7 linked regions of the Rattus norvegicus genome follow. The protein of the gene in region 4 purifies or fractionates together with the protein of the main gene of each other region. This does not show direct contact. Links are inferred from orthologs where the notes say so. Each region holds a gene or a part of one and is shown on either strand. Other genes may lie near its edges.

What was found.
Region 1: the proteins of Cops6 (region 4) and Klhl18 purify together in Homo sapiens (affinity purification with mass spectrometry; 3 studies listed by BioGRID and IntAct, with this or other methods). This does not show direct contact. The link is inferred for Rattus norvegicus from reciprocal best matches to the Homo sapiens genes COPS6 and KLHL18.
Region 2: the proteins of Cops6 (region 4) and Tor1aip2 purify together in Homo sapiens (affinity purification with mass spectrometry, with the first as the bait; 3 studies listed by BioGRID). This does not show direct contact. The link is inferred for Rattus norvegicus from reciprocal best matches to the Homo sapiens genes COPS6 and TOR1AIP2.
Region 3: the proteins of Cops6 (region 4) and Dtl purify together in Homo sapiens (affinity purification with mass spectrometry; 4 studies listed by BioGRID and IntAct, with this or other methods). This does not show direct contact. The link is inferred for Rattus norvegicus from reciprocal best matches to the Homo sapiens genes COPS6 and DTL.
Region 5: the proteins of Cops6 (region 4) and Cul4a purify together in Homo sapiens (affinity purification with mass spectrometry; 13 studies listed by BioGRID and IntAct, counting the BioPlex papers as one, with this or other methods). This does not show direct contact. The link is inferred for Rattus norvegicus from reciprocal best matches to the Homo sapiens genes COPS6 and CUL4A.
Region 6: the proteins of Cops6 (region 4) and Ube2m purify together in Homo sapiens (affinity purification with mass spectrometry; 3 studies listed by BioGRID and IntAct, counting the BioPlex papers as one, with this or other methods). This does not show direct contact. The link is inferred for Rattus norvegicus from reciprocal best matches to the Homo sapiens genes COPS6 and UBE2M.
Region 7: the proteins of Cops6 (region 4) and Fbxo7 purify together in Homo sapiens (affinity purification with mass spectrometry; 4 studies listed by BioGRID and IntAct, counting the BioPlex papers as one, with this or other methods). This does not show direct contact. The link is inferred for Rattus norvegicus from reciprocal best matches to the Homo sapiens genes COPS6 and FBXO7.

The regions. Positions count from the first base shown.
Region 1 is NC_086026.1:119,296,131-119,299,938, forward strand, and holds part of Klhl18 (kelch-like protein 18), read right to left. Parts: intron 848-3,808; coding exon 649-847; intron 1-648. UniProt on the Homo sapiens protein: Substrate-specific adapter of a BCR (BTB-CUL3-RBX1) E3 ubiquitin-protein ligase complex required for mitotic progression and cytokinesis.
Region 2 is NC_086031.1:70,778,905-70,783,330, reverse strand, and holds the start of Tor1aip2 (torsin-1A-interacting protein 2), read right to left. Parts: upstream 3,062-4,426; 5' UTR 2,964-3,061; intron 2,891-2,963; exon of another isoform or gene 2,831-2,890; intron 1-2,830. UniProt on the Homo sapiens protein: Required for endoplasmic reticulum integrity. Regulates the distribution of TOR1A between the endoplasmic reticulum and the nuclear envelope as well as induces TOR1A, TOR1B and TOR3A ATPase activity.
Region 3 is NC_086031.1:105,682,892-105,687,470, forward strand, and holds the start of Dtl (denticleless protein homolog), read right to left. Parts: upstream 3,031-4,579; 5' UTR 2,923-3,030; coding exon 2,871-2,922; intron 2,849-2,870; exon of another isoform or gene 2,588-2,848; intron 2,576-2,587; exon of another isoform or gene 2,321-2,575; intron 2,308-2,320; exon of another isoform or gene 1-2,307. Other genes in the region: Ints7 (integrator complex subunit 7), read left to right, coding at 3,380-3,473. UniProt on the Homo sapiens protein: Substrate-specific adapter of a DCX (DDB1-CUL4-X-box) E3 ubiquitin-protein ligase complex required for cell cycle control, DNA damage response and translesion DNA synthesis.
Region 4 is NC_086030.1:22,151,041-22,155,610, reverse strand, and holds Cops6 (COP9 signalosome complex subunit 6), read right to left. Parts: upstream 2,924-4,570; 5' UTR 2,922-2,923; coding exon 2,792-2,921; intron 2,585-2,791; coding exon 2,462-2,584; intron 2,264-2,461; coding exon 2,132-2,263; intron 1,929-2,131; coding exon 1,840-1,928; intron 1,749-1,839; coding exon 1,686-1,748; intron 1,322-1,685; coding exon 1,274-1,321; intron 963-1,273; coding exon 848-962; intron 765-847; coding exon 672-764; intron 583-671; coding exon 482-582; intron 361-481; coding exon 220-360; 3' UTR 84-219; downstream 1-83. UniProt on the Homo sapiens protein: Component of the COP9 signalosome complex (CSN), a complex involved in various cellular and developmental processes.
Region 5 is NC_086034.1:83,086,895-83,090,461, reverse strand, and holds the end of Cul4a (cullin-4A), read left to right. Parts: intron 1-402; coding exon 403-555; intron 556-2,378; coding exon 2,379-2,474; 3' UTR 2,475-3,022; downstream 3,023-3,567. UniProt on the Homo sapiens protein: Core component of multiple cullin-RING-based E3 ubiquitin-protein ligase complexes which mediate the ubiquitination of target proteins. As a scaffold protein may contribute to catalysis through positioning of the substrate and the ubiquitin-conjugating enzyme.
Region 6 is NC_086019.1:82,735,238-82,739,776, reverse strand, and holds the start of Ube2m (NEDD8-conjugating enzyme Ubc12), read left to right. Parts: upstream 1-1,478; 5' UTR 1,479-2,051; coding exon 2,052-2,160; intron 2,161-3,156; coding exon 3,157-3,251; intron 3,252-3,345; coding exon 3,346-3,384; intron 3,385-3,477; coding exon 3,478-3,581; intron 3,582-3,886; coding exon 3,887-3,950; intron 3,951-4,037; coding exon 4,038-4,178; 3' UTR 4,179-4,539.
Region 7 is NC_086025.1:19,715,008-19,718,815, forward strand, and holds part of Fbxo7 (F-box only protein 7), read right to left. Parts: intron 3,333-3,808; coding exon 3,105-3,332; intron 1,182-3,104; coding exon 1,040-1,181; intron 1-1,039. UniProt on the Homo sapiens protein: Substrate recognition component of a SCF (SKP1-CUL1-F-box protein) E3 ubiquitin-protein ligase complex which mediates the ubiquitination and subsequent proteasomal degradation of target proteins and plays a role in several biological processes such as cell cycle, cell proliferation, or maintenance of chromosome stability.

The sequences.
Region 1 (3,808 bases), on a different chromosome or scaffold from region 4:
GCTAGAGAGAGATGGCTCAGTGGTTAAGAGCATTGGCTGCTCTTCCAGAGGTCCTGAGTTCAATTCCCAGTAACCACATGGCCATTCACAACCCTCTGTAATGGGACCTGATGCCCTCTTTTGGCAGGTAGACACATACACAGGCAGAGCACTCACACATCAAATTAAAAAAAAATGGAATTAACCCAAGCTCTAAGATTAAGGGAAATGTAGCTGATAAACATACTATCATTTAGGTACTAAACTATAAGAAAGATTTTAGGAAAATACATATAACAAAACAAATTCCCAAATACATAAAAAACATATAGTCATAGTTTGTTAAAAAAAAAAAGGTGGGAGGAAGGATGGGAGGATGGATGGATGGGAGGATGGATGGACAGGAGGAAGGATGGACAGGAGGAAGGATGGACGGGAGGATGGATGGACAGGAGGAAGGATGGATGGATGGACGGGAGGAAGGATGGACGGGAGGAAGGACGGGAGGATGGACGGGAGGATGGATGGATGGACGGGAGGAAGGACGGGAGGATGGACAGGAGGATGGATGGATGGACGGGAGGAAGGATGGGAGGATGGACGGGAGGAAGGATGGGGAAGGAAGGAGTGTGCGCTCTGCCTGTGCAGACTGCTGCTGTGCTCACCGACCTGCTCCTCTGACTTCACATTCAGCTCATCCCGAGACAGCAGCTCAAGCACATCTTCCAGGGGCAGGGCCAGGAACTCTTCAGACAGAGACACCTCTACAAAGTGCTGGTGGATGAAGCTGTTGGCTGCATCATACAGCACAGCACACATCATCGTCTCAGCAAACTGGCGCACACCCAGGCAGTTTTTGGGGTGAAGCCTTTGGCATAAGATGGAAAGATAAGGGTCAGAGGAAGGAACAGTGCTACCCTCAATCATTCTTTTTTTTTTTTTTTTTTTTTTTTTTGGAGCTGGGGACCGAACCCAGGGCCTTGCGCTTCCTAGGCAAGCGCTCTACCACTGAGCTAAATCCCCAACCCCCCTCAATCATTCTTGAAATGGTTTTGAGTACAGCCATGGAACAAAAGGTTAAATTTTGTTCCCAGCTTTGTTAGACAGTCCCTATGGTGTGAGGTACCACTCACTCTCTCTGACTCTCATCCTCTAAAAGTATCAACTTAAGATGGGCTAGCCTCAAGCCTTTGCCTTAAGATGGGCTAGCCTCAAGCCTTTGCTTCCGGGGGCATGTGTGGCCTTGCCATGTCTAAGCAGAATGGACTCTCAGGAAGTCCTGTGACCTCACTGTCACAGGAGAAGACAGTGAGCATTCGCTGGGAAGCCTTGACACCGAGCCAGATGCTGCGGTTTCTGAGTCTCCAGGGCACAAGTCTACCTCTAGGCACCAGAGGCATGGAAGAGTCCTCTTCCATACAGGGACCATCGCACATTTTTCTTTTCTTTTCTTTTTTTTTTTTTTTTTTTGGTAGAAGGAAGCTCCATGAATCTAAGAGTTCAGAACCCTAGAAACAACCACAGCAGCTGTTATTCATCATTTCAGTGACTAAAATACTTTGCTAGGCTTCTTATACCCATTCTGCAAAATTGTTATATTTTAACTTTTTTGTGTGTTTTTACTTGTGTTTTGAGACAGGGTTTCTTTGTGTGACAGAGCCCTGGCTATCCTGGACTCGCTTTGTAGCCCAAGCAGACCTTGAACTCACAGAGATCTGCCTGCCTCTGCCTCCTGAGAGCTGGCATTGCACTACCACACCTGGCCTAAAAATTATTTTCATCACCTTTAATTACATGCATGTGTGTGTCTATGTATGAGTATGTGCACATGTGTGCAGGTGCCTTCAGAAGCTAAAGATTTGGATGCCCTGGCGATGGAGTTACACAGCTGCCCTGTGTGAGTGCTGGGTCCTCTGGAAGAGCGGCAGGAGCCTTGAACTGCAGAACCATCACTCCAGTTTCCTGGTCATGAAGTTTTTGAGATGCTAGGGACTGAACCCAGGACCCTGCATGTGTAGGCAAGCACTCTATCCCTGAATGCTATCTTCGGTTCTTTTAAGGGCTGGAAAGATGACTCCAGGATTAGGAACACTTACTGCTCTTATGAGTTCAGTCTCCAGCACACACATCTGATGTCTCACAACCTCATTTAACTCTAGCTCTAAGAGATCTAATATCCTCTTCTGGTCTCAGAGGGCCCCTGTACATACATGACATACACTCACACAGACACACATACAAACACAGACAGGCAGACACAAAAAAAAAAAAAAACCAACCCTGGGGGTCTGGAGAGGTGCTCAGAGGTTAAGAGCACTGGCTGCTCTTCCAGAGGACTTGGCTTCAATTCCCAGCACCCACTTGGCAGCTCCCAACTGTCTGTAACTCCAAGATCAGACACCCTCACACAGACACCTCACACAGACACACATGCAGGCAAAACACCAATGGGCATAACATAAAAATAAATTATTAAAAAGTCAATTCTGCAGACTTCATTTCCTAGTGGCCAACAAAGGTTCAGGGAAATCAAGACGTGTTTCCAGTACTCGGACAAGGGAGTGAACTTGACGAGGGCTGAGACTGCAGGCAGACCTCTTGCTTCTGTGGCTACAACACAGATGAGAAATCCTGCCCCTGCCCCTCTCTGAGGAATGTGAGCATGTTTCTTAAGTTCTCCGAAGTGTCATTAATTTTCTCACAGAGAAAAGATGATGGTGACCATGAACCTTTTAGAACTAGAGTGGTGACTTAGAAAGAAAACAGATAAACAGAGCAGGCGTGGTGGTGCAGACCTGTGACCCTAGCACTCTGGAAATGGAGGCAGACGAACAGGAACTTAAGGTTAACCTGGATGACATAAGACCTTACCCATGGGGATAGCTCGATGGAAAAAACACAGCTGTGCCAGCCTGAGGACCCAAGTCCAGAACCCACTAAAAAGCCCCACACAGTGGTACACGTTGGACATCCCAGCATGCCTACTGTGGGACTGGAGGCAGAGACAAGAGACATGAAGGTCACGGGCCAGCCAGCCTGGAGTTCTTGGCACTACAGCAGAAACAAGAGGGACGCTGCCTTGAGGAGGTGCAGTGAGACTCCACCCACTCCTGAAGGCTGCTCATTTGTGTGGCACGCATCCCCCTCTCCGAACCAATGACATCAACAAGCACACAATGAAAGGTAAAACTAAAAATAAAATTTAAAAAGTAGCATTTTCAGACCAGTGAGAGAGTAGGTAAAGGAGCTGGTTGTAAAGACAGACCACAACCTCAGCTCAGTCCCTGGGACCCACACAACGGGAGGAGAGAACCAACTTCCATAAGCTGATCTCCTTATGTGCAACATAGCACATGTGTACCCATGTAAACACACACACACACACACACACACACACACACGCATGCACACACACATGAAACACACATGCGCGCACTCACACACAGCAAACAATGAATGCAGGCAATACTCAGCACAGTGCCCGGCGTGAAGCCGGATCCTCTTTCAGTTTCTGTTATATTTGCTTTCTTACACTCACACTCAGCGTGATTCTGAAGTCTTTGACAGAGTAGACTCCGAGGGATCGGGTTTTCCAAGCTTTACTTTCCTGTTTCCCTCGAGAGCCTTGGCTGTCCTGAACTACTATGTGATCTAAGAAGTGGCCTCAAACTTGCTCCAGCCTTCTGCGTGCTCCACCGACAGGCACAAGTGAACACACCTGGCTCCTCGGTGAGTTCCCAAGGCCAAGGAAACACAATCAGTATGTGGAACAGCAGAGACAAGACAGTGAGGACAAGGGCCAGGGAGAAGTGTCACTTAGAGAGATGTT
Region 2 (4,426 bases), on a different chromosome or scaffold from region 4:
TAAATAAATCTTAAAAAAAACAAAAACAAACAAACAAACAAACAAACAAAAAAAAACCCCATGGGTCTCATGCCAGATGACCCTCTGAGACAGGGTTAAGTTGCTGAATCTGGAGCTAGCCTGAGGTTACAAGGCAAGCCTGCAGTTACAAGCCACACCTGACTTTTTACTCCTACACTGGGATCTAAACTCAGGTCCCACAAAGTTTAACATTTAAAGAAAACATTTCTCTTTAAAGAAAAGTTAGTTCCCTTTACTATAAAAATACCATGCTTATTACTCTTTTTGAGAAAACAACTTAGAAGTGGGTAGGCGGGCCAGGCCTTCAATCCAGCACTCAGCAGACACAGGAGAATCTCTGAGTTGGAGGCCAGCCTGACCTATGGACAGGTTCCAGGACAGCTAGGGCTACACAGAGAAACCCCGTCCTAAAAAAATAAAATAAAAATCTGCACCACGCCCTGAGTCTAAATTGTATTTTTATCTTCTTCTTCTTTTATTTCCCTATAAAATGTTAAAATGGTGGGCCAAATAGTCAAAGCATAAACACCATTTCTTTTGTGCAGAGAAGTTTGAAGTCAATCCCTAGGATGAATGTAGAATGGCCCGACATCCACAGAAAGTCTACAAATACTGACCGACGGCAATCTCCTTTTCTGCCTGAACCCGAATGGCTGCTTCTGGGCTAACTAGAATTCCATCTTGATGCTGCAGCTGTTCGTAACAACCAGTGCAATGCCACCACCTAGACGGTGGAAAGCAGCACGACACTTAAATGAGAGCAGCATGTAGCCCTACTGAAGCACACAGAAAGGTCTCAAACACTGGCGCTCTTAAGTGGACCTGCAATACTTAAAGCCCTGCTGTTTTGTTCTATCAAGATAGAAAGAGGCAAATCCAGGTAGCTCTGTTAGACCTATCTACACCTTCAGAGTGCAAAAGCTAACATTTTAAATTTGGTTTTGTCAAGTACTAAAGCAGAGTTACTAAAAAGCAATACGATTTGACCTGTAGAAGTTACAAAATTACAGATGAACTTTTTTCATTTCAATCTGGGTTACCAAAATCACATTCTATATATAATCCTTCTAATATTTTATACAGGGGAAAAAACCCAATTAATAATAGCTGTTTTTACTTCTGTACATAAATGATTTCATTAAATATTCTAAATGACCCTACAGTTCTCCACTTTGCTAAGGAAACAGGCTCAGAAGTAGTTATCTGCCAAAGTCCTACGATCCTCAGATAGTACCGGAAGTCCGATCAGTTATGACTCCAAAGTCCACGTATACAGTCACTGTTCAAGATACCCTTACTGACAAACGCTTGTCTTACTGTGCAAAGCTTATGATAAAATATGAGAACTACACTGGAAAACCACTTGTAGGTCAATTGACAAGGGTGTTGGAAACTCAGACCCACGAGGGTGTGGGCTGCAGAAAGCCAAGTGTGTGTGTGCTTTTCATAGTGGCCTTGAAGCTTAATAGGAAACTGAAAGGCAGACAAAGCTTCTCTAAACCAATTTCCCCTTGAGAAATTTAAGGGGCACTTTAGTTCCTTGGGATGGTTTACAATAACTACGTGCAGGACGCAATGCACAACTACAACAGTCAAGTGCTGGTGGCACAACTCTCTATTGAGGAGGCAGAGGCTTGTGCTCTCTGAGGTCACATTAAACTGGCTTAATAGAGGGGTCCAGGGAGGCCAGGGATATAGAATACAGAGATCCTACCTCAGAAAAATAAACTAAAAAAAAAAACCCACAAAACAAGCAAACTAACCAAAAACCCTACTCCTCAAGTGACCAGCTAAATTCTGGTTACTTGTTTATTACAGAAGCTCTAGGTGTGGTACCTCTACATTAGGAGGGAAACTACTAAAAAAAAAAAAAGAGTAAATGAGTCAGCTAAGGTCACATGATAACTGCAACAAACCTCCTTATCTGGGGGTGGACTCTGCATCCAGATCAACAACACTACTTAAGGGCCTCAAAGTTTTCATACACAACCTCAGGTTGTTTTTTTTAAGCTATTCAAAAGGCTTCCTAGAACGTTTTTTATTTTTAGTTTGTCTACTGCGGAAGTTCTTTACTTAAATTATTTTCTATTTGCAAAGGACTTATACAGTATATAAAACTGGTAGTCCTGGGTCCTCGCTGCACGCAGCCTTTAAAAAAACAACAAAAAACCCAACAAAACCCTCTTATACATTTAAATAAGCGGTTTTTAAACCTAAGGACAGGCACTTGGGTGTGGTAGTGCATGCCTTTGATCCCAGCGCTCCAGAGGCAGAGGCAGGAGTTCGGGGCCAGCCAGGGCCAGAAACAGAAACTACCTTCACGGTGGGGGGAGGGGGAGGTAAGGCAAACAAAACAGGCAAATTTAATTAGAAAAGTTAACATCCCTGGATCTATATAAACAAGCATAAAATCTGACAAAGTAGAGACTACCAAAGATTTTGTTCAAAGAAGTTTTTTTGTTTTTTTTAAAAAGCTGGGTATGAAACAGTTGAGTACATAAATAGGTAAGTAAAGTAATTCCGAGTTTCAAAGTTTGTCCATTTCAGCATTACTAGTTACTAACTGAAAAACTTAACTGTTCTATCTTTTAAGGATTAGAAGATTACTGGAATCCTTACGCAGCGAAATAAGAGAAATGAACTCTTACAATAAGAATTCTGGTTTACATTTGAAAACTTTTAAGTAATCTTACCTCTCATCTACAGTCCGTATCAAAAATCTACTCTCACCTTGTTTCGTTTTATGCTTGAAAGATTCCAGGTATGTTTTCTGCACCCTCCCGGAAATTACAGACCCATCCCAACCTACCTCGATTTCTGTTTGTGCCGTAGGGGAGGTGGGGGTGGGGAGGGATCCTTTTTCAAAGACCTTTTGAAAGGAGAAAATAGTAGTTCAGACACTAAAATAATGTTAAAGTTGTGTTTTCGTTTTGCTTACTTACAATTTCCAGCCAGGTTTTAAAATATGGGACAGTCAGGATCAGCGGCGCCACTCGGCTGTCCCTCCTGCTCCACAGCGCTGGTCTGCAACCCCCAGCCGCCACGGCAGAATGTCGCCTGTACCGCCCACGTGACGTGAGCTCCGCAGGGAGGAGCCCGCGGAATGCTGGGATAGGTAGTCCTTTGGCCCCACCTCCCCCAGCTCCTCCCACTAGACTTCCTAGAACGTTAGCACAAGCTTCTGTGCAAGCCTTCCAGCCACAGCCAGCACTATTTCTCAAGGCTGAAGTGACTATGTAAACAGGCTGCAAGACTCTGACCACCTCGTCCCTTATAATAACCTGAAATACAAAGCTTACAAAACCACACGAGGGCAGAAAAGTAAGAGACAGTAAGTGAAGATAGTGGCAAGCACCACTCACTAAGACACGCCTTTGAACCCAGCCTCTTACTCTAACTAGAGGCTATCCTCAAACTGATTGTTTAATCTAAAACTTAGTTTGCGCGTGGGTCAGTGGGGACAAGGCTTCATACCCACGTGAAGTTGTTGTGAGTACCTAAATAGCATGTCTGCTAACAGGCAATAATAGACTAGGTACCAAAAATAGCTCTTATTTTGGGGTTTGGGGGTACAGCCTTCAGTCCCCAGCACTCAGAAGGCAGAGGTGGGCATATCTCCATAAGTTTTACTTTATTGTAAGACAGGATTTAAGTTGACCAGTCTTACCAGGAACTCTTAGAAAACTCTTAAACTCTTAGTTTAAGTCTCAGACTTAAACTCAGCACCCTCTTTCCTGTGCAGGAATTAACAGGCCTGTGCCATCTCTCCAGCCCATCAATTATCTTTTTAAAAAATATTTTACTTATATGTGTATACATGCATCTATGGGAGTTAATGTGAACCATGTTCTTAGAGTTTAAGGAGGCCAGTGGAGGGCATCAGATCACCCAACTGCTGGGGTTACAAGCTATTGTGAGGTACCATATGGGTGCTGGGAGCAATAAGAACAGTTAAGTACTCAAGACTTAGGTAATCAGGCTGGAGAGATGGCTCAGTGGTTAAGAGCACTGACTGCTCTTCCAGAGGTCCTGAGTTCAATTCCCAGCAACCACATGATGGCTCACAACTCTCTGCAATGGGATCTGATGCCCTCTTCTGGTGTGTCTGAAGACAGCTACAGTGTACTTATATATAATAAATAAATCTTTAAAGAAAAAAGTCTTAGGCAATCTCTCTCTAGCCACCCTCCACGCTCTTTCAATAATTAAAAGGAGATTTTTTAAATGTTTTGCCAGGCATGGCATCAGTGACATATATCTGTAATCCTAGCACTTGGGAGGTTGGAGAAAGAGAACCAGGAGGTTTAGGCCAGTCTAGGCTACATTAGTCCCTGTTTCAAAAAGCTCTTCCCATTAAAATACTTTCATTAAAAACGGCTGAAGAGCAATGACTGTTCTTACAGAG
Region 3 (4,579 bases), on a different chromosome or scaffold from region 4:
GATGGGATAGGGAGCCTCTCAGACAGATAAGACATTTCAGCAGAAAAAAACTCTTATTCTAGTTTGAGAAGAAAGGAGTGGAAAAGAGAAAGGGAACTTAATCTAGATTTAGAAATTGCTTATGGGGGCATGGCTCCATACTTTCAATATTAAGCAACCCTTTGAGTAATCTGTGAAAGACCACAACAAACAATTATGTTCTCAAATAATCTCATCTAAAAAAAGTAAATTCGAAAACAAAAGGCTACATGTAAATGCATGTGTATAATGTGGGATTTTAAGTCCATTCAAAGAAGAATCACATAAGTAAAAACTGAAGATACAATTTGCTTTGGATATTTTCACAATTAAGCTAATTCCTTAACTCTGCCTCTCTACCTCAACTAATATTCAGACTGATAAACAGCATTTAAAGTGACTCATTGAGCAAGGCCTACTAAGTCCATTATTTCTGCATCTCCCCATAATTCACTTTTGGATCTTTATGAATATGAACCTGTAGTATTCCCCAGACCCCAACACTCATCTGGAAAAGTCCATTCTTTCCTCAATACACAGCTAAAGGCCCACACTTACAAGAAATATACAACAAGGCTTTGCATTTTCAGAGGATCAACACCATATCAATTCAACAGCTTCCACATATTATTTCCAAAGCTGTTGTCTGTCCCTTTCCTATCAGCTGCTTCACTTCCTTTCTATCTCACAAAAGGAAGGTGTCCTTCCATCCCCATCTTATACCTTGCACTGTCAAAAGGTGAGCTACTATGTGTCCATTACAAACATTTAAAAAAGATAAAACTAGTGAGGTCCTAACTATGAGACAATTTGAGATCATAAGGCGCACCAGATACCTAAGTCTATTTCTTTAAAAGATGCACTTTCAATAAAAATTTTGCTTTTTGCTTAAAACATAAGTCACTTGGTTTTTACCCATTATCCACTATGAATTAACTATGGTTATAATTTATCGGGTATTAAAACCAAAGAAAATAGCACTTTATATGCTTTTTGATGTAGCATGCTGGAGTGGTAAGAACTTTTAAATTACAATAGGATAAATTTGGGGGAGAAATAAGGTAGGAATATTCAGAAGAAAAAGCAACCGTACAAAACAGCTGAAGCATTTGCTCACCTTTGAAAAGCAGAAACCACAACTCCCAAGTTGGTATAATTGGGTATGTAAAAGGTTAAGGTATATTTTTGCATGTTTAAAGCTTACACTAAAAACTTTTAGATATGGATTTAAAAATTCTCAAGAGTAAGTAATTATATTCTATTTTACAAACATCAGCAGAGAAAGGAAACTAAAAGCACATTTTGGAGGCATATTATAATCCAGGGAGTAAAGTATCAGATTCCAGTCTGGGGAAAAGGAATACAGAAAATGGAAGAATCAGTTTGTGGTAAAGAGGCAGAGTCAGTGGGGACGAAGGAGATAGATTCAAGCAAGCTTAGGGGAATTTTTTTGAAAAGGTCATAATGAGGACTATGGAGTCTTTGAGTGACTCTCAGTTTTTAGCTGGGATACCAGTTTAATAATGTCAGTCCCCAAAGTAGGTAACAAATTTTGGGGAAATGCCAACTCAGTTTGGGGCTTCAAAATGTAAGATGCTTGTGTGCCTGTCTAGATTAAGATCAACACACACAGCTTTTACAGAAACTAATCCAAAATATAGGGACTGGAATAATGTGAGCACAGTGGATCCTTACTTAAGGCTATAATCATCCAAGCAAGTGGGCACAGCAACCCAGGAGGGGAAAAAGAAAGGAGACACACAGATTTCAGGAGGTAACAATAAAGGAATTCCAATGCCTATCACTGAACCAGTATCTGTAAACAGGAACGACAGGCTGAAAAGTGGATAGATAGAAAATATGTCACATAGGAAAAGAAGGTGGAGTTGAAACTCAGATGCTGTAACTCCAAAGACCACTCACAAGCATTGTGCAGGGCGGCCATTCCTAACACAGGGGGAGTTTTGTAAAGTTCTAGGAGAGAAATGAGCAAGCAGAATGTTAACTACAAGAGTATCCAAGGAGGAGTAAGAATACAAAGTTTTTGATCCGAGCAGGACCTCAAGGAGCTTTTCCTCTTCTCAACATTATTAGGCCCACTCTTCAAAGTCTTAGTTTAATCACACATAAACCCAATCGCATTGCCAATGTTTCTGTAAAGCTGCCCAAGAGAACTGTAGGAAATGAGTTGGCCTTCTATATGCTAACAGGAGAATATGGCTGAATTCCACCGTGCAGAGAAAAACGAATTTAATCCTGTTTCTGGAAATACCTAGGCATCAAAACACATTTGAAACAATACCTTTCCATCTATTACCCGTGGTCGCCTCGTGGGGGTAGCTATGGGCATCTTTTAGTCTGTATTTTAGAACTTTTCAGAACCTGCAGAGATGGGGGAGGGGGCTTTGGCGCCGAAAAAGCAAGATTTAAGCGACTTCTCTGCCTGACTGAGTTCCTCAACTGCGGGCCACGCGCGCTAGTGCACGACAACGAACTTGCAGGGATCGCTAAGGTTCTGCAAAGATCGTACATCGCCTGTGCCAGTGCGTCCCCCATCCCCGACACACACCAGCCAGCTAACTCTAGTTAACGCGCGATATTGACGTAAGCAGCCAGGGGCCCGGGGCGCCAGTTAACGTCCTAACTTCGGCCTCCGTTCCGAACTAAAAAGCTCGGTTACGGTGAAGAGTGTCCTTCCAGAAGGAACCCGAGTACGAGGTTCTTCGGCGGTCCTCACTCGCCCGGATTCGCTCCTGCCGCGGGAGAACTCGAGGCCCGGAGTCGGCAGCGATCCAAGGTGGAGCGCCTGGGGGGAGGTGGTTCCCGCCACGGCCGTTGGGACCGTTACTCACCGTTCCTCAGGACGCCGAGCTGCGGCTGGCGGAGCACCGAGTTGAAGAGCATTTCGTCCTGAGGAGAAGACTCAGCTGAGGAGAACGCCGAGGAGATCGCCCCCAAGTTCCGCCGGAGCCTCCGCTTGCGCCCTCCACAGCGCGACACGGTTTTGCCTCCAACTCCCGCCACTGCGAGCCCCGGCCGCCAAACTCCGCGCCAAACTGACGTCATGCTCTCTGATTGGCTCTCGTCGCAGCGTTCTGGAGCCTCGGAGGCTCGGCCCCATTCTAAGCCCCGCCTTCCTCTCGCTCAGCCGCGGGAACCCAGGGTTCACAAACCCCCTGAGCGCCTGCGCGGGGGGGGCCACAGAAGCGCGGGCGAACCGCCGGGCGGCCCGGGCGCATGCGTACACTGCCTGACAGCTCACGGAGGGAAAAATCCGCGAGACCGCGGCGGGAGAAGATGGCGGTGCAGGGGAAGAGTTTGCAATCTTTGTGACTAGGCGAGTCCGGTAACTATAAGGATCATGGCGTCAAACTCAACCAAGTCTTTCCTGGCCGATGCCGGCTATGGCGAACAGGAGCTGGACGCTAACTCCGCTCTTATGGAACTGGACAAAGGTACGGAAGGAGGGGAACGGGAGAGGCATCTGGGGGGAGTGGCGCCACCTTGTGGCGGCAGCTAGAGGAGCTAGGAAGGCGCATGCGCCGATGTATGGGGCGGGAAGCGCCGCTGTCTTGGATCCTGCGTTTGGGCGCTTGCTGTGCTGTTGGAGTGGCCTTGCACAGCGGGAGCAGAGGACTGCGCTAGCGAGTACGCCTTTGACCACTTGGGGTTACAGTCTCAGATTTCCCATACAGTAAATGAGACAATTCCTAAAAATCCTGAAGTCGGAGATTATATTTTAAAACGTTCAGTGCAGGTGAAACCTTCATCAAGAGAGCCATATGGTTTCCTGAGCGTTTTATAGCGATTTGTCTTGTGAGACTTCGAATGGCGCGTTCTATAACAGGTTCCATAAGGATGAGAACATGGTTCCATAAGGAAGAGCATGGCTGAACGCGCGCATTCTCTGCAGACAAGTTCCACGAGTTAGCGTCCCTTGTGCAGGTAGCCAAGAGAAATGACTTTAGGGTTAGGAGTTGAATTCCAGTTCTACGAAAGCGATTATGGGAAGCGACGTTATCAACTAGCCTGATTTGTCTGCAAAGTGGGCAATTTAAATGGCAGTGATATGCAAAAAGATGCATCTATTAAATGCTGAAGAGATACTCCTTTGTCTCCGGGTGGATAAGTCGCTAGGCAAGGACAGATAGTTATCTGTAAAGAAGTCCTGTGTTAATGTGAGACGTTTGTTTCTGTGTACTTCCAAGGTTTTTACCCCATAGACAATTCTTGGTTACCTGCAGCCAGTGTATAGCCTGTAGAGAATGGGACTAGAAACTAAGGATCTGCCTGCAAATTCACTTTAGTCCCTTTGACTTGAACATGCGTATTGCCTTTTAGGGATTTAAACAACAACAAAAAGTTAATGTTTGTATTGGGTTGTTTATTGATAGGTTATTTCTCCGATGTCGGTGAAATGAGCCTCCGATGTCGGTGAAATGAGCCAATTTAAGCCAGGTTAGATTGTATTAAAGGCATGTTTATTGGTAAGCTATTCTGGAGTGGGTGAGTTCACTGGCCCCAAGGACCAAGGCCTGGCAAGTCACCCTGAGAAAGGGGA
Region 4 (4,570 bases):
TCCTATCACATTCTGTCTACAAGGGTCCTGAGTCATTAAAAGATAAGTGGGTCCTGTCTGAAGAGTCCAGGTGAGAAACCATTGTGCCTGAGAGGACAAAGCCACTGGAAGGGCTGCTAAGGGGCTGTTCTTTATTAGTGAGTTTCTCTAAGGGGAAAGTGCTCAGTCCCGTGGCACAGTTGTCTGAGCCCCATACAGCATCCCTTCCAAGAGCCCTCATCAGAAAAACAGTCCCCGCATCCGCCTGCCGATGCCTTGTCGGTCATACAGGACGTTGAACTTGTTCACAAACTGGTTCATTGTGTTGCACGTTTTGGTGATGGTGCCGAGGTAGGCCATAAGCCCCACGTCATTGCATTGCTGGGAGGGAACAGAAAGAACCAGTTCCCCAGGGGTCCCTCATATTAGCCAATGACACTGAGTTTCACCTGCCTGAGGTGGTTGTGAGCCCCACCTCCCCATCAAGGGTATTAACACTCACATCATAAAAGTCTGTCTTGAACTTGTCAGTGCTGAGAACTGGAAGACAGTGGCATAGGGCATAGGCCTCCCGCAGGATCTCATGGTTGAAGGGAACCTCTCCTAAGGGCACAATGAGGCTGCACTGATGTGGATGTTGTCACTTCTCCAGGAGGGAGGAAAGATGGTTAAAGGTGAGGTACCTCTCCTACCTGCTTCAGAGGCCTTGACGTACTCTAAAATGAGCTTCACACGGCTGTGCAGCATCTTGATGGCGCTGTGCTGAGCTATGAGGTGTTCAGCCACTGCAGGGGGACAGGACAAATGAAAGGTAGCAAGTGGCCACACCCAACCCATACCTCCAAAGAACTGAATTCAACCCCCTTACCAGTGGAGTTCTCCCCACTGCCTGTAGCTGTCATCCGGGCCACATGGTCTACACCGATACGTTCAGCTTCCTCAGTGGCCAGAGTGTAAGTGAGTTCAGCAAACAGCATTGTGGCCTGCAGAGTAAAGGGTTCTCAGCAAGGAAACAGGGCTGGGCAGACGGCTCAGTGGGTAGAGCGCTTGCTGCACGAGACTAAGGATCAAGATGTGGCAGCATGTGTCTATAATCCCAGAACTTCTACAGCAAAATGGGAAGTGAAGACAAATCCCAGAAGCTCACAGGTCAACCAGCCTGGCAAACACGAGATTCTGTCTCCAGGTAGAAAGCTACGACAAACACCCAGGGTTGCCCCATGCCTGTGCACATGTGCACAGCATTTAGGAGACAGGCTAAAGCAGGATTTGAAGATTGCAGGGTAACTATTACCTCTCCATTGATTATATCGATGACAGACTCAAAAACGCTGACAGGCAGCTGTAAAAACAGACGGAGACAAGAGAACAGCTCTTACTAGAAGCAAATGCACTTGAACTTGCCAGGCTGGTTTTGAACTCACAATTCTCTTGCCTCAATCTCCTGAGTGCTAAAATTGATTACAAGTGTTGTTGCCACACTTAGCTCACAATTTTCTCTCTACTGGAGTAAGTTTTACCCACATTACATATGGCGACACCACTGAAGAGATGAAGTTACACAACTGATGGGCGTAAGTAAACAGCAGCGTGGAGATTCAACTCAAGCGTTCTCTAATACACATGATGTCACAGAGTAAATCAGAGCAGAGGCATATAGGGGCAGATGATCAAGACAAAGGGGTCATAGGGTCAACAATACTCACATCTGTGTGCTTGGTCATAGGGTTCAACTTCAGAAAGAGAGGACTCTCAATTATCTCGCAAACCTAGAAGACAAAGCCCAAAAAAAGTCAGTATCTCTTCTTCCCATAACCTTCTGTTCTCTTCCCCAACATGCACACATGTGAGCTTTTATACCTGCTTATGGACGTGGATGTCTGAGGGGTCAGGTGGCCCCCCTGTGGTATACCAACCCAAAAACTCCAGCTCCTTGAAAACCTGTTTAACTGGAGAAGAAGGGGCCAGAGTAAATATTTCTTTAAACCTCTCTTCCTGAGTTTGATGGACCTGGTGTGTTTCCTTACCGGCTTTTCCCTTCCTCCCTCCCTCAAATTTTGGGTCAGTTTAGCATAACTATACCTTTCTATTCTAAATACAAAACAAAAATCTCCCCACTTCTCCTTCCCGCCCACTTCTATTCCCTTCTCACACTGCTCCTCCTTGGTGTAATAATATTCTTTGTCAATGATAATCTTCTTTTCCACGGTGTGAGACAGCAGCTCAAAGGAGTTCATCACTTCGATATTTCGCCCCTCCTGCTTCCCGATCAGAGCCCCAATCACTAAGGAGAGAGAAGCAGAAGTGCAAGGAAAATAGGTGAGGTTCAAGCATCGAAAACCTTTCCCGAGACTCTGAAGTCAGTGTGTATTAATGACTGGGGAAACAGTAATTTGGAAAAGGGGGCGGGGGGAGGGACTGGAGGAGATCTCCAAGAGGAGATCTCCAAGAGGAAATTTTGAGATTTACACACAACACTCACCCTGCATAGGCCGCCCCTCCTGGGAGCGCATGCGGATCCAATGGTCTGAGATGTTGAGGATGACAAGGGGATGAAGAGCGACGGAAACACTCCCAGTCACTCCGGAGGCCATCACGCTGGGGACTGTTAAAAGTGAAAGAAAAACATAGCGGGTGAGAGTTCGGGCCCACACATTCTCCCCTAGACATGGGAGCAGAGGACCGGTAGAGCCGGGCCGTTCATCCCTGCCCTCAAGTTATCCTGGGAGAGATGTCGCTTCTCCCGGGCTTAAGAAGTACTCAAGACACTCCGCAAGGGCGACTCCAGAAGTCGTTCCCTGCACCCCGTTACCTGCTGCATCCACCTCCATGCCGCTGCTGCCTCCGCTCCCGTTCGCCGCCGCCGCCGCCGCCGCCGCAGCCGCCGCCGCCGCCGCCGCCATTTTCCCCGCGCCCGCCAGCCACGGCCCGCCCCTTTCCATCTCGGCTTCCGTCGGCGAGCGGCGCATGCTCAGTGTGTACTCTGTGTTGCTAATGGGCGGGGCGTCTGCCAGTACTTGGTAGCCCATGGTTCTCAGTGTGTTGTGTTGTGTTGTGTTGTGTTGTGTTGTGTTGTGTTGTGTTGTGTTGTGTTGTGTTGTGTTGTGTTGTGTTGTGTTGTGTTGTGTTGTGTTGTGTTGCTGCTACCGGTTCTCATGAAAACCGGCCTGGCCATGAGTTCTGTATTGTGTATCTAAGAATGACTTTGAACTTTTGGTCTCTTGCCTTTACCTCCCAAGTAGGGCTGTTAGTTTCCAGGTCTCAAAGGGGATACTTTGTCAATACTAGACGCAGAGAAAATTGCGATCAAAAAGAGGAAACGCTGTAATTTATTAAGGATATAACATTTTTCACGTTGCATATAATCTATAGTGACATGGTCACTTGTTTGTTGAACTGCGGTCTAACCGTGTTGCCCAGCTGGCTGGGAACTTGCTATTCATCTAGGCTGAGTTCAAACTCAAAGAGATCTACCTGCCTCTACTTCCTGAGTGCTGAGATTCAAGGTGTGCAGCGTGCCCAGCCTGCCTTGTTTTTAAAACGGTGAGCAGGGGGGCTGGAGAGATGGCTCAGTGGTTGAGAGCACTGACTGCTCTTCCAGAGGTCCTGAGTTCAATTCCCAGCAACCACATGGTGGCTTACAACCATCTGTAATGAGATCTGATGCCCTCTTCTGGTGGGTCTGAAGGCAGCAACAGTGTACTCATATAAAACAAATAAATAAAAATATTGAAACGGTGAACTGAGGATCTAAAGTCGGTTCCTAACACTTACAAAGCAAGCACTTTATCCCCCGAGCCGTCTCCCCAGTGGATTACTCCAACTGTTCAGCTGCTTCTTCAGTTGCAAGGCAACTTGATTCTACACAACCTAGTGACTGCTACTGGGAAGGCTTGTGGCCCATGCCTTTAATCCTCGCACTTAGCGAGGCAGAGACAGGCAGATTTCTTGAGTTCAAGGCCAGCCTGGCCAACAAAGTGAATTCCATCACAGCCAAGGTTACACAAACTCTCACAATATAGGGGTTGGGGGAGAGTTGCCTTGGTCATGGTGTCTCTTTACTGCAATAGAACAGTGATTAAGACAAGTATGTTTCCCACTTGGATCAATAACTGAGGCTAAGCAACCTCCTTTAATAGTCAAGAAAAAGGGACTGGAGAGATGGCTCAGCAGTTAAGAGCACTGACTGCTCTTCCAGAGGTCCTGAGTTCAAATCCCAGCAACCACATGGTGGCTCACAACCATCTATAATGAGATCTGATGCCCTCTTCTGGTGTGTCTGAAGACAGATATGGTGTACTTGTAATATGTAATAGATAAATCTTTAAAAAAAAAAAAAAGTCAAGAAAGAGCATTTGGCCCACAGTCATTCATTTGGGGCCAATAACAGCCTGTTTTTCTTCCTTCCTTCCTTTCTTTCTTTTTTTCTTTCTTTTTTAACCAATCATAGTCATGGACATATGTGCTTTGGACCAATCATGGCCTTGCACTGATTCACAGTAGTCCTTCCACTAGAGAAAGGGTTCCCTTCCTGTCAAGGTGGAAATGTTTTCAGGTTCATCTACATTTCATAGAGGCCCGTGACCGAAAA
Region 5 (3,567 bases), on a different chromosome or scaffold from region 4:
TCCCACAGACAGTGACTGTGTCACTCGTCCTGAGGTTTTCAGTCTGCTGCACAGGAAATAAACTCAAAATGCTCAATGATGTGTCTAAGGAGGCCAGTTAATAGCAATGGCTGCTCTTTCAGAAGACTTTGGTTCCCAGTATCCACATGGTGGTTCACAGCCATCCCATGCTGCTAGGAAGCCCTTGACACAGCATTCGTATAAGAAAATACAACCTTTAAGATCACTCTTCAAGTGCTAGTTGAGAGTTGTACACTGTGAAAAGTTAAGGGCATTCACGGGACAGTTACAGTGTAACACAGCAGAACAAAGCCTGCCTCAGTCTGCATCAAGCCAAGTGTGTTAATGCAGAGCCATGCTGAAACCTCTGTACACCCCCGCCGTTTCCTTCTTCTTGTCCAGGTTGAAGAACAGGTTAGCACCACAGAGAGAGTGTTCCAGGACAGACAGTACCAGATCGACGCTGCTATAGTCAGAATAATGAAAATGAGGAAGACACTTGGTCATAATCTTCTAGTTTCTGAATTATACAATCAGCTGAAATTTCCAGTAAAGGTGAGTACGGTGGGCACAGCTGGATGTCAGGTGCTGTGTTCCGTGTCCTAGCTTGTAATGGTAACACAGGGCCTGCGTGAGCAGAGGCCCACACATACGATGCCAATGGCTTGTACAGATCCAGAGACTCACGGCTCCTCCAAGCATGTTACATGCTGTGTTTTCAGGAGGGAGCAGAGGCCACGGCCACAAGATGTCAGATGGTCTTCCCTCACCGTAACACCTAAAGCCACTTCCCAGGCCCCCGTGGCAGGCAGTGGTGTTGAGTTCACAAGCTATATAGTCGCATTTCCTGCTTTGGAGATGTGAGTCAGCCTCAGCTTGTCCCTCCTTCTTTTAGCTCTAGAACTAAGTGCTAAGGGTTCTGTAGCCTGCAAAGTAAAAGATGAGCTAGGGGAGCGTTGCAGAAATACCCCATAAAATGCATTATCAGTACCTCAGGAGCCACAATGAGACAGACTGATCAGTCAGTACCCAGGCATAGGTGAAGCTAGTGCCTGGTCCTGCCCTCCATGATGATGGGTGCATAGCCCATGTTATACTGTGTTGTTTCCTGTCCCAAGTAAGGGCATCTGTTTGTCGGTTTGCAAACGTAGCAACCTAGTAATTAAGCAGAGAGTATAGTGTAGAGGTGGGCAAAGTTCTAGGTCCTGTGCTTTTATAGCTAATTGTATGGTCAGCCATGGCTTGTAAGATGCATGGCCTGCCACTGAAGAGAAGGGTTTGCTGTTGGAAAATGGTGCTCCCCTCAACAGAAGGCACTTGCTCCCAAGTGCTGGATGTGTTTCCTACTGCAGCACAAGTGGAGGCAGGTGCCTTTTGGGCAGAGACATTCTAAGGCAGTGGACTTGGCCCTGGTTTAGTCATCCACTGAGACTGAGTTCTTTGACTGGGCATAGTTGTACATGCCTTTAATTCCAGCACTTGGAGGTAGAGGCAGGCAAACCTCTGTGAGATGAGTCCAGCCTGGTCTACATAGTGAGTTCCAAGATAGCTAGGGTTACAAAGATAGACCCTGTCTCACAAAAGAAAACAATAAAGGCAGGGCCAGTGTGTGTGGCTGGTCACCTGCTTTAGGGCCAGGTGTGTGTGGCTGGCCACCTGCTTTAGGGCCAGGTGTGTGTGGCTGGCCACCTGCTTTAGGGTCAAGTGTGTGTGGCTGGCCACCTGCTTTAGGGCCAGGTGTGTGTGGCTGGCCACCTGCTTTAGGGTCAAGTGTGTGTGGCTGGCCACCTGCTTTAGGGCCAGGTGTGTGTGGCTGGTCACTCGCTTTAGGGCCAGGTGTGTTGCTGGCTACCTGCTTTAGGGCCAGGTGTGTGTGGCTGGCCACCTGCTTTCTATCCACACGGCAAGTTAAAGCAGTGGGAACAGGCTCTGTGGTGAGGCCTGCATAGTGAAAATGACAGATAGACTTTTACAGTAACTGAGAGGAACACTCAGAATCTGTGGCTATCCTGTGTAGATACCACATCTGGTAAGTATGGAATGAATAGGTTTGAGCACATAGAAAAAGTGCTTCACAAAGGATGCACATCTATAACCTTTACCTTGGGGAGGCTGAGACAGGAGAATTACTACAAGTTCGAATCCAACCTGGGCTACAAAGTGAGTTCAGCCTGGACAATAGAGAAAAATCATATATTTATTTTAATAATAGAACATTTGTTCAGAATATGCTAACATGATCATTTTGTAGTTATCAGTGTGTGTGTGTGTGTGTGTGTGTGTACATCTGTTGTAGCATTGCATATTTTTGTGACATATTCTGTGCAGGATATTGGGTCTGTGTTTCTATCCTAACATGTCTGGTTTCTCTTTTCTAGCCTGGAGATTTGAAAAAGAGGATTGAGTCACTTATAGACAGAGACTATATGGAACGAGACAAAGACAGTCCAAATCAGTACCACTACGTGGCGTGACGCAGCGGCCGATGGCCGTCTCGCAGTGAGACACACTAGAAGCACCTGAGAGTATGACGCTGCTGTGCTGTTTCCGGGTTCCTGCAGCTGCCCCGACTCTGGACGCTGGGATTCGAAGCAGAGGATGTGGCTCTTGGCTCATGCTTCCCGGGCGCAAGGACTTTGCGGTGACACCGTCTTTCCTCCCCGCTCCTTCCTTCCTCTACTTCTTTATCGTTTCTGTTACTCTGACTTTGCGTTGAGAAGCTCCTTCACAAGCTCTTGTTCCTCTGGCAGAAGGCCACGGGCCTGCTTTGTTGTATGTGTGATTGTGGGGCACAGTGGAAATACCCTAGATGCTGTGTTCGTCCCCAGATGAAGACTCAGAGAGAGCGCCCTGGGCTGCCAGGCACTGGGAAGAGCCTGTCCAGGCTGCCACTCAGCTCTCTCACCCTGAGCATTGGCCTCTTTGCAGTGTATTTCAGAACGCTGGAAACTTTGGCTTCTGTAAATCAGGTTTCTAAGTGAGGTCCCTGATGTGCCAAGAGGACATCATGTCTGTCATGAGATACAGCTCACCCAGAGGACTGCTTGTCGTTTGTTTAGGGGCTTGGGGGTTTCATGTTTGTTTCCATGCCAGTTGAGTGTGGAGGTCTGGTTTTGGCTTTGCGGTGATGCTGTTTGACTGTTGAAGTTGCAGTTTGTGTGATTACCATAATAAAATTGGGCCTGGTTTTGTAGTCTGGCACAGAGACCGTCTTGGATCTCTGCCCTGGCACTCTGTGGAGTTTCGATATGTTTGTCAAAAGGCAAAGGACTTGTTGGTTCCTGGTGACATACTGTGTGTGCACGTGAGGTTGAGCAGAGAGAACAAGGCTCCATAGTGCTGTTGGCATGGTGATGATGACAGACACTTTTGCAACATTTAAAAGTACTTTATATTTTACAAAGTAGCATGTTTCATTTTGATTAAAAGCTACCAAAGGAATTTTGATCATGTATAAGTGTTTAAAGCAATATTTTCTGGAATATACCAAGTTTATATAACTCAATTTTATGCTAAATTATTAAAGGATTCTCCCTTTTTGAAACATGCATGTTTAAGATATGACAT
Region 6 (4,539 bases), on a different chromosome or scaffold from region 4:
CCACAGCCATGGGACTTTGGAAGGGTCAAAAATGGAGGGATATACCTGTAAACACAGCATTCAGGAAACAGAGACAACAGGAAAAAACGTTAGTTCAAGATCCACCTCGACTACATGCTGAGTTTGGACTACAGAGATGGATTCTATCTGGAAGAAAGCAAGCCAGAAAAACAGCAGATATACAAAAATAATCAGCCTAGAGTAGGATAGCTGAGAAAACAGTAATGAACAGTTCTAGAGTGATTTGTCTTGGGTCTCAAAATGGGCTAGCCGGCAAGGAATGTAGAACTGTGCCATGCTGGGTGGTGCAAACGCTGTCAGTCAGCAAAGAGCCTTTATAAGAGCAGAACATAGTCCTAACCTGTTCCGGTCATGTTTTTCAACAGCGACTCTGGCTTCTGGTTTCCTAGATGACAGCCAAAGTCACTGGCCCATCCTGAGCTATTATTTTCTTCTGCCTCCCAAGCACTGTGGTTGGATGCAAGCTCACTGAACAAGTTAATCAAGAAGCACAGTGCCACTTCTGCTGGTCTCTAGATCGCAGTCGTAAGCCCTACCTATACCAACGTCAACCTCGGACCCTAGAACTACACGGTTGCTCACGTCTGTTACACAACAGAAATTTAAGGAACAAGGGTCTCGATGTGTTGCCTAGGGTGTCCCTGAACGCCTGTTCTCTCTCTCTTTTTTAAAGATTTATTTTTATTATATATGAGTACACTGTAGCTGTCTTCAGACATACCAGAAGAGGGCATCAGATCTTATTACAGATGGTTGTGAGCCACCATGTGGTTGCTGGGATTTGAACTCAGGACCTCTGGAAGAGCAGTTGGTGCTCTTAACCACTGAGCCATCTCTCCAGCCCTTAACGCCTGTTCTCAAGCCAACTTGATACCTCAAGCCTCCAGAACAATTCGAGTTTTTTTTTTTTTTGTTTTGTTTTTTTGTTTTGTTTTTTTTTGGTTCTTTTTTTCGGAGCTGGGGACCGAACCCAGGGCCTTGCGCTTGCTAGGCAAGCGCTCTACCACTGAGCTAAATCCCCAACCCACAATTCGAGTTTTAAACTAGTTCCCATCAATCTGAATCTGGGATTGCGGTGGGATTAAAGGGGAGCTTGCTTCTGCACCCTTAGGCAACGTTCCTTACAACGTCCAGGTTCTGCCTTTGCTGAGCCCTCAAGAGGGCAAGGATCCAGTCTAACCTGGTAACCTGGTCCCGCTGAGATCCGCATAAGTGCAATATTGAATAGAACCACCAAGAGCCAAACAGCCACTACCTGCCTGGTTCAAAAATGGTTGCAAGCACTGCTTCCTACTCTCCTGGGTGCGCATCCCAGGAAGTACCCGATGGACCGCCAAATAGTCACCTCCACAAACGGAAATACCCGAGCTTAACCGAAGAAAACCGAACCTCAAACTACAACGAGGAGCAAGCAGGGGGGTGGGGTGGGGGCGCTGCAAGAGTTGCGCAGGCGCAGAGCGCAGCCGAGCCAGGAAAAACCGAAGCGGACAGACGACGGAAAGTGCCGAAGCGGCGGGGTGCCCGAGGCCGTTGCCGACCTCCGCATCGAAGCCGCGCCTGCCGCGGAAGCTGAGCCTCCACCGGTACCCTGCGGTACCCTGCCGCCGCAAGCGCGGCTGCCGCCTCCTCCTTCCACCTCACCGCAGCCTCCTAGCAAAGGGAGCAAGTAGGCGGGAGAGCGGCGGACCGGTAAAGGCCGGCGTCCGCAGCCGCAGCGGGGACTCACAAGACCCGAGCGGAAGAGGGGGAGGAGGGCGCGGGGGCCGTAGCAGGGGCGGGGCCGAGGATAGCCGAGTCCTCCCGAGCACTTCCGAACACACCCGAGGTGCTAAGCCAGGCCAGAGCCGGACTACGGGAGCCGAGGCGGGCCGTGCGGTGGGCGCGGAGCAGCGCGGCAGGCCGGGCGGGCGGCAGCGGAGGAGGCCGCGGTAGCGGGTCCGAGGAGCGGAAGCGGCGCAGGCGGCGGCGGGGGGCCGGGTGGCCGGGGTCCCGGGCCCCGCGGCGGCTGCGGCGGCGGCGGCGGCGGCAGGATGATCAAGCTGTTCTCGCTGAAGCAGCAGAAGAAGGAGGAGGAGTCGGCCGGCGGCACCAAGGGCAGCAGCAAGAAGGCGTCGGCGGCGCAGCTGCGGATTCAGAAGGGTAGGGGTCGGGACCCTGCGTTCGAGGTCAGGGACCGTGGCGTGAAATTGCCACCGCTGATATTTGGTATCGAGGGTCAGAGTTCGAGGGTTGTGATACGGGACGGGGTGGGGGGGTGCGGTCACTAGGGAGGGTCAGAGATTGGGGCCGAGTATGGGGCGTTGGGATATTTGGGCCTGGAGTGTTAGGGACCCGGAATCTGTTAGGGGAGGGGTATAGTTTGGAGAGTCAGAGGGGAACTTTGCTCTGGGGTGACGGGCCGTGAAGATTGTGAAGGTTACGAATTGGGGATAAGTAGGAGACGGTTTAGTGTTTTATACTGGGGCTGGTGGTCCAGGACTCAAGTCCAGGGGTTTAGGCAGAGTGGTTTTGAGTTTGAGGTGAAGGGGGGTAGAGAAAATGACAGGAACTTTAAAAAAAAAAAAAAAAAAAGGAGTTTGGGTCAATTTAAGCTACCATGCTAGAAATCTCAAGGATCAGATGGGAACGTGGAGTAATCCGGAGAAGAGGGAGGACAGTGGAGGCTGGATACTTGATGGGAAGGTTGAACTTAGTGTTGTGGGGGGAGGTGTCATGGTCCTTGAATAGTGGTGAACTGGTAAACAGTCGTGAATGGAGATAGTGACTAGAAATAGAGAACCTCAGGTTTAAGGTACTCAGGGGTTCTTGGAAGTAAGGGTTATGGGAGTAAAGGTTCTTGGGGACTATGTTGTGGGAACTTGCGGAGGACTTGGGGTTGGGGGATAAAGGCTTGCCCTTTCCCAAGAGATGGGCATCCAGTTACACTTGAAGATGCTTGTATGTGGGATACCGTGTATCCAGAAGAGTAGAGACTGAAAAGTGGAAAGAGTAGTTAGTCCTATGGAGTGAGTTAAAGCACAGCACACAAAGAGCACCTCAGGTCCAGGAGACCTTGGGGGTTCTACTGACACATGTCCAGACCTACCTCCTTTCTTCTACCTGTTTTCTCTCCCTCTCCCTGCTGTGCAAACCTAGACATTAACGAGCTGAACCTGCCCAAGACGTGTGACATCAGCTTCTCAGACCCAGACGACCTCCTCAACTTCAAACTGGTTATCTGTCCTGATGAAGTAAGAGTAAAACATGGCAGGATTCCCAAGAACAGTCCAGGGGTGGCCCCCTAAGAGCAGGATCTTTATGCATTCTTCCCCCTTCCTCTTCCAGGGCTTCTACAAGAGCGGCAAGTTTGTGTTCAGCTTTAAGGTGAGTTTCAAGTGTACAAAGGTGGCTCTGTGGAGAAGACTGGGGCATAGCCAAAACACCCTCCCATCTCATTTCTCTTTTTTCTGGAGCCAGGTGGGACAGGGTTACCCACATGACCCTCCCAAGGTGAAGTGTGAAACAATGGTTTATCATCCCAACATTGACCTCGAGGGCAACGTCTGCCTCAACATCCTCAGGTGAGGGCACTGCCTTCCTTTCCCTCCCAAGGCTTGCCTTCTAGGAATCCTCTCAGCCTTTGTGGATGCTGCATCCATCTCTGTCCTTGCCTTTATGGTCAGTCTGGGTTTCTGTCTTCCTTTTCAAGTTGTTTTTCTAGTGACCTGACCTTGGCTTTCTCCATGACCTGCCCTGTTCCACATCTTCCCCCTCACTCTTCAATGTTAATGGCCCTTCTATGGGCCTGACCTGTTTCGTGTTAGCAGGGCCTGTGGCAACCTCCCACTCACCAGCCCCTGATAACCTTGATGCTCTCTGCCCACAGAGAGGACTGGAAGCCAGTCCTTACGATAAACTCCATAATTTATGGCCTGCAGTATCTCTTCTTGGTAAGTAGGCATAGACATTTGAGGCTGAGGGCTTGTTGGCCATCTCTGCCTCTCTTGCCTGTTGACTTCCACTTGTACTGGCCACAGGAGCCCAACCCCGAGGACCCACTGAACAAGGAGGCTGCCGAGGTCCTGCAGAACAATCGGCGGCTGTTTGAACAAAACGTGCAGCGCTCCATGAGAGGTGGTTACATCGGGTCCACCTACTTCGAGCGCTGCCTGAAATAGGGTTAGCAATTACCCATCCCTGCCAGGGTTACTGGCCCAGGCATCCCCTGCAAATATTTATTGGGGGCCCAGGTAGGGTGTGTGGGGTAGCCTTGGCCCCTGCCTTGGCCTTGCCTCTCCTCCCTGTCACCTGCCCCTAGTTATTTTTTTTGACCACCACGTGATTATGGTCGGTGCTGCCTCCCCCGACCTGCTCAGCGATGGGAAATGAATTGGCTTGTTTAGCGCCCCCCCTCCCGCTGGGTGCTGTCCAACCCCCCACTCTTGACTGTGGGGTAAGTGGGCAATGGGCCTGGGTCACCAGGCTCAAGCAACCCACCCCACCACCACTGGAGGTCCCACCAGGCTATTAAAGGGGAAT
Region 7 (3,808 bases), on a different chromosome or scaffold from region 4:
TCCACAAACAGCACAATCTACCGCACTCTCTTCTAGCTTAAGTATCTGAAAAGGATGACCTCAAAACCCAAACAGTGTTAGCCCAGTGAGGTGGGAGTCACCCACCACCCCAGAGCTTCGGCTACATAAAGAATTTGAGCTCAGTTTAGGGTATACAGACCCAATTTCAAAAATATATTTAAAAAAAAAAAAAAAAGATCAGACTGAAATGTAAGATCCTGGTCACCCAAATGGATCTCCTAATGTGAGATCAGGAGAACATTCCAGAAAGCAGTGGTGGTTGGGAAGGACCTGTGTGACATCATGACTAACATGATCCAGAAACACACTGCCACCTCAGTGCAGCTTCCCTCTAGGAAAGGGGAGAGCAGAGAGGTCATTCAGAGGACTTCCGTGAGGACGGGCAGCTAAACTGTGCATACCATGGCTGCAAAACCTCAGCAGTTCAGAGATGCCGACTTCCTCACCACAGGTTAGAGGCTAAGGAAGGTAATTAGAAGAGACATTCACAGATGTGCACAAAAACCTACTCCAATAGTTCATCCACAGTAAAACCCACTCATTTCTACTACCACAGCTCACAGAACAAAGGGATCAAAGATTGACACATCACAAAAAAGCTGAGGCTGGAGAGGTGGCTCTGCAGTTAAGTTACAGGCACTGGCTACTCTTACAGAGGACCCTCGTTCAATTCCCAGCACACACCTGGAAGCTGGCAGCATCTTTAACACCAATTCCAAGGGATCTGACACCTTTTCTGGCTTCCACAGGCACCATATGTATGAGATGATGCACAGACACAAATGCAGGTAAAACACTCAAAACATAAAGTAAAACTATAACAGACATTTAAAAAGAGAACAAGGAGGCTACCCCAAAAGTGAAGGGTGCTGTCCTAAACCAACATCCTCTAATTTTAAGTCTTCAGGCATACAGTAATTAAGATGTGAATGACTCGGCACCCACTCGAGTGGCTACAGACTGTTAGGAATAAAGTACTTAATTCACAAGGCGCCAGCATGACGCTCTGCTCCATTACCGTTTATCATGATGAGCTTTCCCAAAGGTACACAGGTAAGCACGGCAGAGCCGCCCTCACAGAGAGGATGTGTGTACTGGAGCTTGTATACGCCACTTGACTTCCATTTCTCAGGCATGGATGCTGCTTTGGCTTCAGTCCCCTGAGGAATGAGATGAAAGAATAATAATGAAGAAAGGTATTGTGCTGAAAAACCTGAAAATCAGTAACAGCCCTAACTTACTGTGCAATGTAGCCCCCTTGAGCCGCTGACATGACTCAGCAGGTAAAGTGTCTGTCACAGAAGCCATCACCCAAGGTGGAGCCTTGAAACCCACATAAAGGAAAGAAGGCAGAGAACCAAGTCCACGGAACTCTGCTGCCTGCCTGCCACACATGCTATGTCGCATGACACGCCCCCACACACACACATCATACACATTTTTTAAAAGATACATATAGCCCCCTTAACAGAATATGCACATCATTAATATTGCTACTAGGAGGATAATAGGTTATAATATTTGTCTATCAAAATTTTTGTTTTAATATACAATGACATCATAGAAATAAGGCTTAATTTTTCTCTTCTAAGACTCACATTTTCTACCTAGCAAAGACAAATCGTTCGTTATTCAAGACCGCAGGGAGAACAGCATTTCCCTCATACAGCCCTTTTCCAGAAAAGTCATTTTCTAACATTTTGTTCACATTTGTGTCACTGCATATTTGTAGTGCTCTGTCAATTTACACTGTTATTTGTAGTATGTTATATCTATCTGGTCTTTTGTGCTCATCTGTGAACTCTGAGAAACGTGCGCCTGTGCGTACAGTGTGCACAGGCGCACAATGGTCTTGGGCTACTCCTCATCTCTGTACTCCATCCCATGGCCACAAGGAATGTGTACAGGCCAGCAGTACAGGGGACAGGCCAGAGTACGCAAGACGCTCAGCCCCACCCTGAGCTTACTAGGTCAGAATCTGTGCTCCAATGCGGTCCCTGTATTCCTCAGCTCTCCTCTAACTGCTCTTTCAGAGTCCCAGGCACTCCGCATGTGCAAATGTCTCTCCTAGAACTTACACAATAAACTAAAATGATCTAAACCCTTGTCTATTCTCAGACTATCAGGAACTGGAAACAGAGAGCTAAGAGCAGGAAGGAAATCACCTCACTGCATCAGCAGATGCTGCACGAAGCCATGCTGAATGAAGTTAATGAAGGAAAGCAACCACAGCACAAGGCCGTGAGCGTGAGACCTTGGTCAGCCAGCATCTGGTCAGACGCGTCCCCACTGCCGCCACTTTATTTCAACATGACCATATGCACACAGGCCTTCTCAACATGACGGTATGCACACAGGCCTTCTCAACATGACCGTATGCACACACGCCTTCTCAACATGACCGTATGCACACACGCCTTCTCAACATGACCATATGCACACACGCCTTCTCAACATGACCGTATGCACACAGGCCTTCTCAACATGACCGTATGCACACAGGCCTTGTGTCCTTTTTTTTTTGGACCAGTTGCCATTCTCTCTGTAATACTAAATGCTAACAAGGGAAATGATGGGAAAAGAAGGAAAGCTGCAAAGGGCATTTACTGAGTACCTGTGACAACCCCTTACTATTTCTGACATTTGATATTCAAGAACCAATCACATTTAGTAAAGAAAGATGGACCACCACAATGCCCTAGTGACTGAGGTGCCTAGTGAGGTCTCATGTTTTAGTTAGGGTTTTACTGCTCTAAACAGACACTATGACCAAGGCAACTCTTATAGGATAGCATTTAATTTGGGCTGGCTTATAGGTTCAGAGGTTCAGTCCATTATCATCAAGGCAGGAGCATGGCAGTGTCTAGGCAGGCCTGGTGCAGGAGGAGCTGAGAGTTCTACATCTTCACCTGAAGGAAGCCAGGAACAGACTGACCATCCTCAGGCAGCTAGGAGGAGGGTCTCCCAGCCCACCCCACCTTGACACACTTCCTCCAACAAGGTCGTACCTCCTAATAGTGCCACTCCCTGGGCCAAGTGTATTCACACCACCCCACGCCCTAAGAGGTTCGGGTGGCACTTACCTGAGGTATGTAGCCCGACTCAAGCATAAGGAGATGCACCAGCACTATCAAGGCATCACTGACGGTGGAGCAGCCGGCTGACTGGTACAGGGCCTCTAGGGAATGTGGCACCTGCCCGTCCTCTGTTTCACTGCAGAGCATTGGCTCCAGTGGATGGAAACCAGAAGCCTCTTCCACACTCATGGCGTCCTGAATTGACACAGCTTCAGCACTGTGACTAGGTCCTTCCTGCACAGGATGACAAGAACAGATCCGTTAACTTACACAGGACATTTTATACCCTGTACTGAGCAGAGATGGGTGCTCAAAACAAAAGCCAGCCAGAGGTTCAGAGTAGAAAGCGCTTATAAACAAGTGAGACTGTGACCTACACCTCCATCCTGAGTCCCACGGCCCCATGCTAGAAACACGGAGCTAGCTCCTCGGTAAGCGCCTTAAACGTTGTGCTCACAGCTCCAGCACTACCGTGCCTGAGTCTCTAAAGCTGTGCCTCCTGTGCCACTTCTACCTCAGACTCCATCACGCTTCTGCTGACCTCCAGGAACAACAGCTCCTCAGGGTGCCTGCCTCCCCTCTTGTCTCAGACACACCATGCACTCCTTCCAGTTTCCCCAGAAATTAAGAATCCAATCACATCTTATCCCACTTTAAAACTCAGGATTTCCACAAACGTACCTTAAGACTGTGTCCCTGGATGTTCTTAG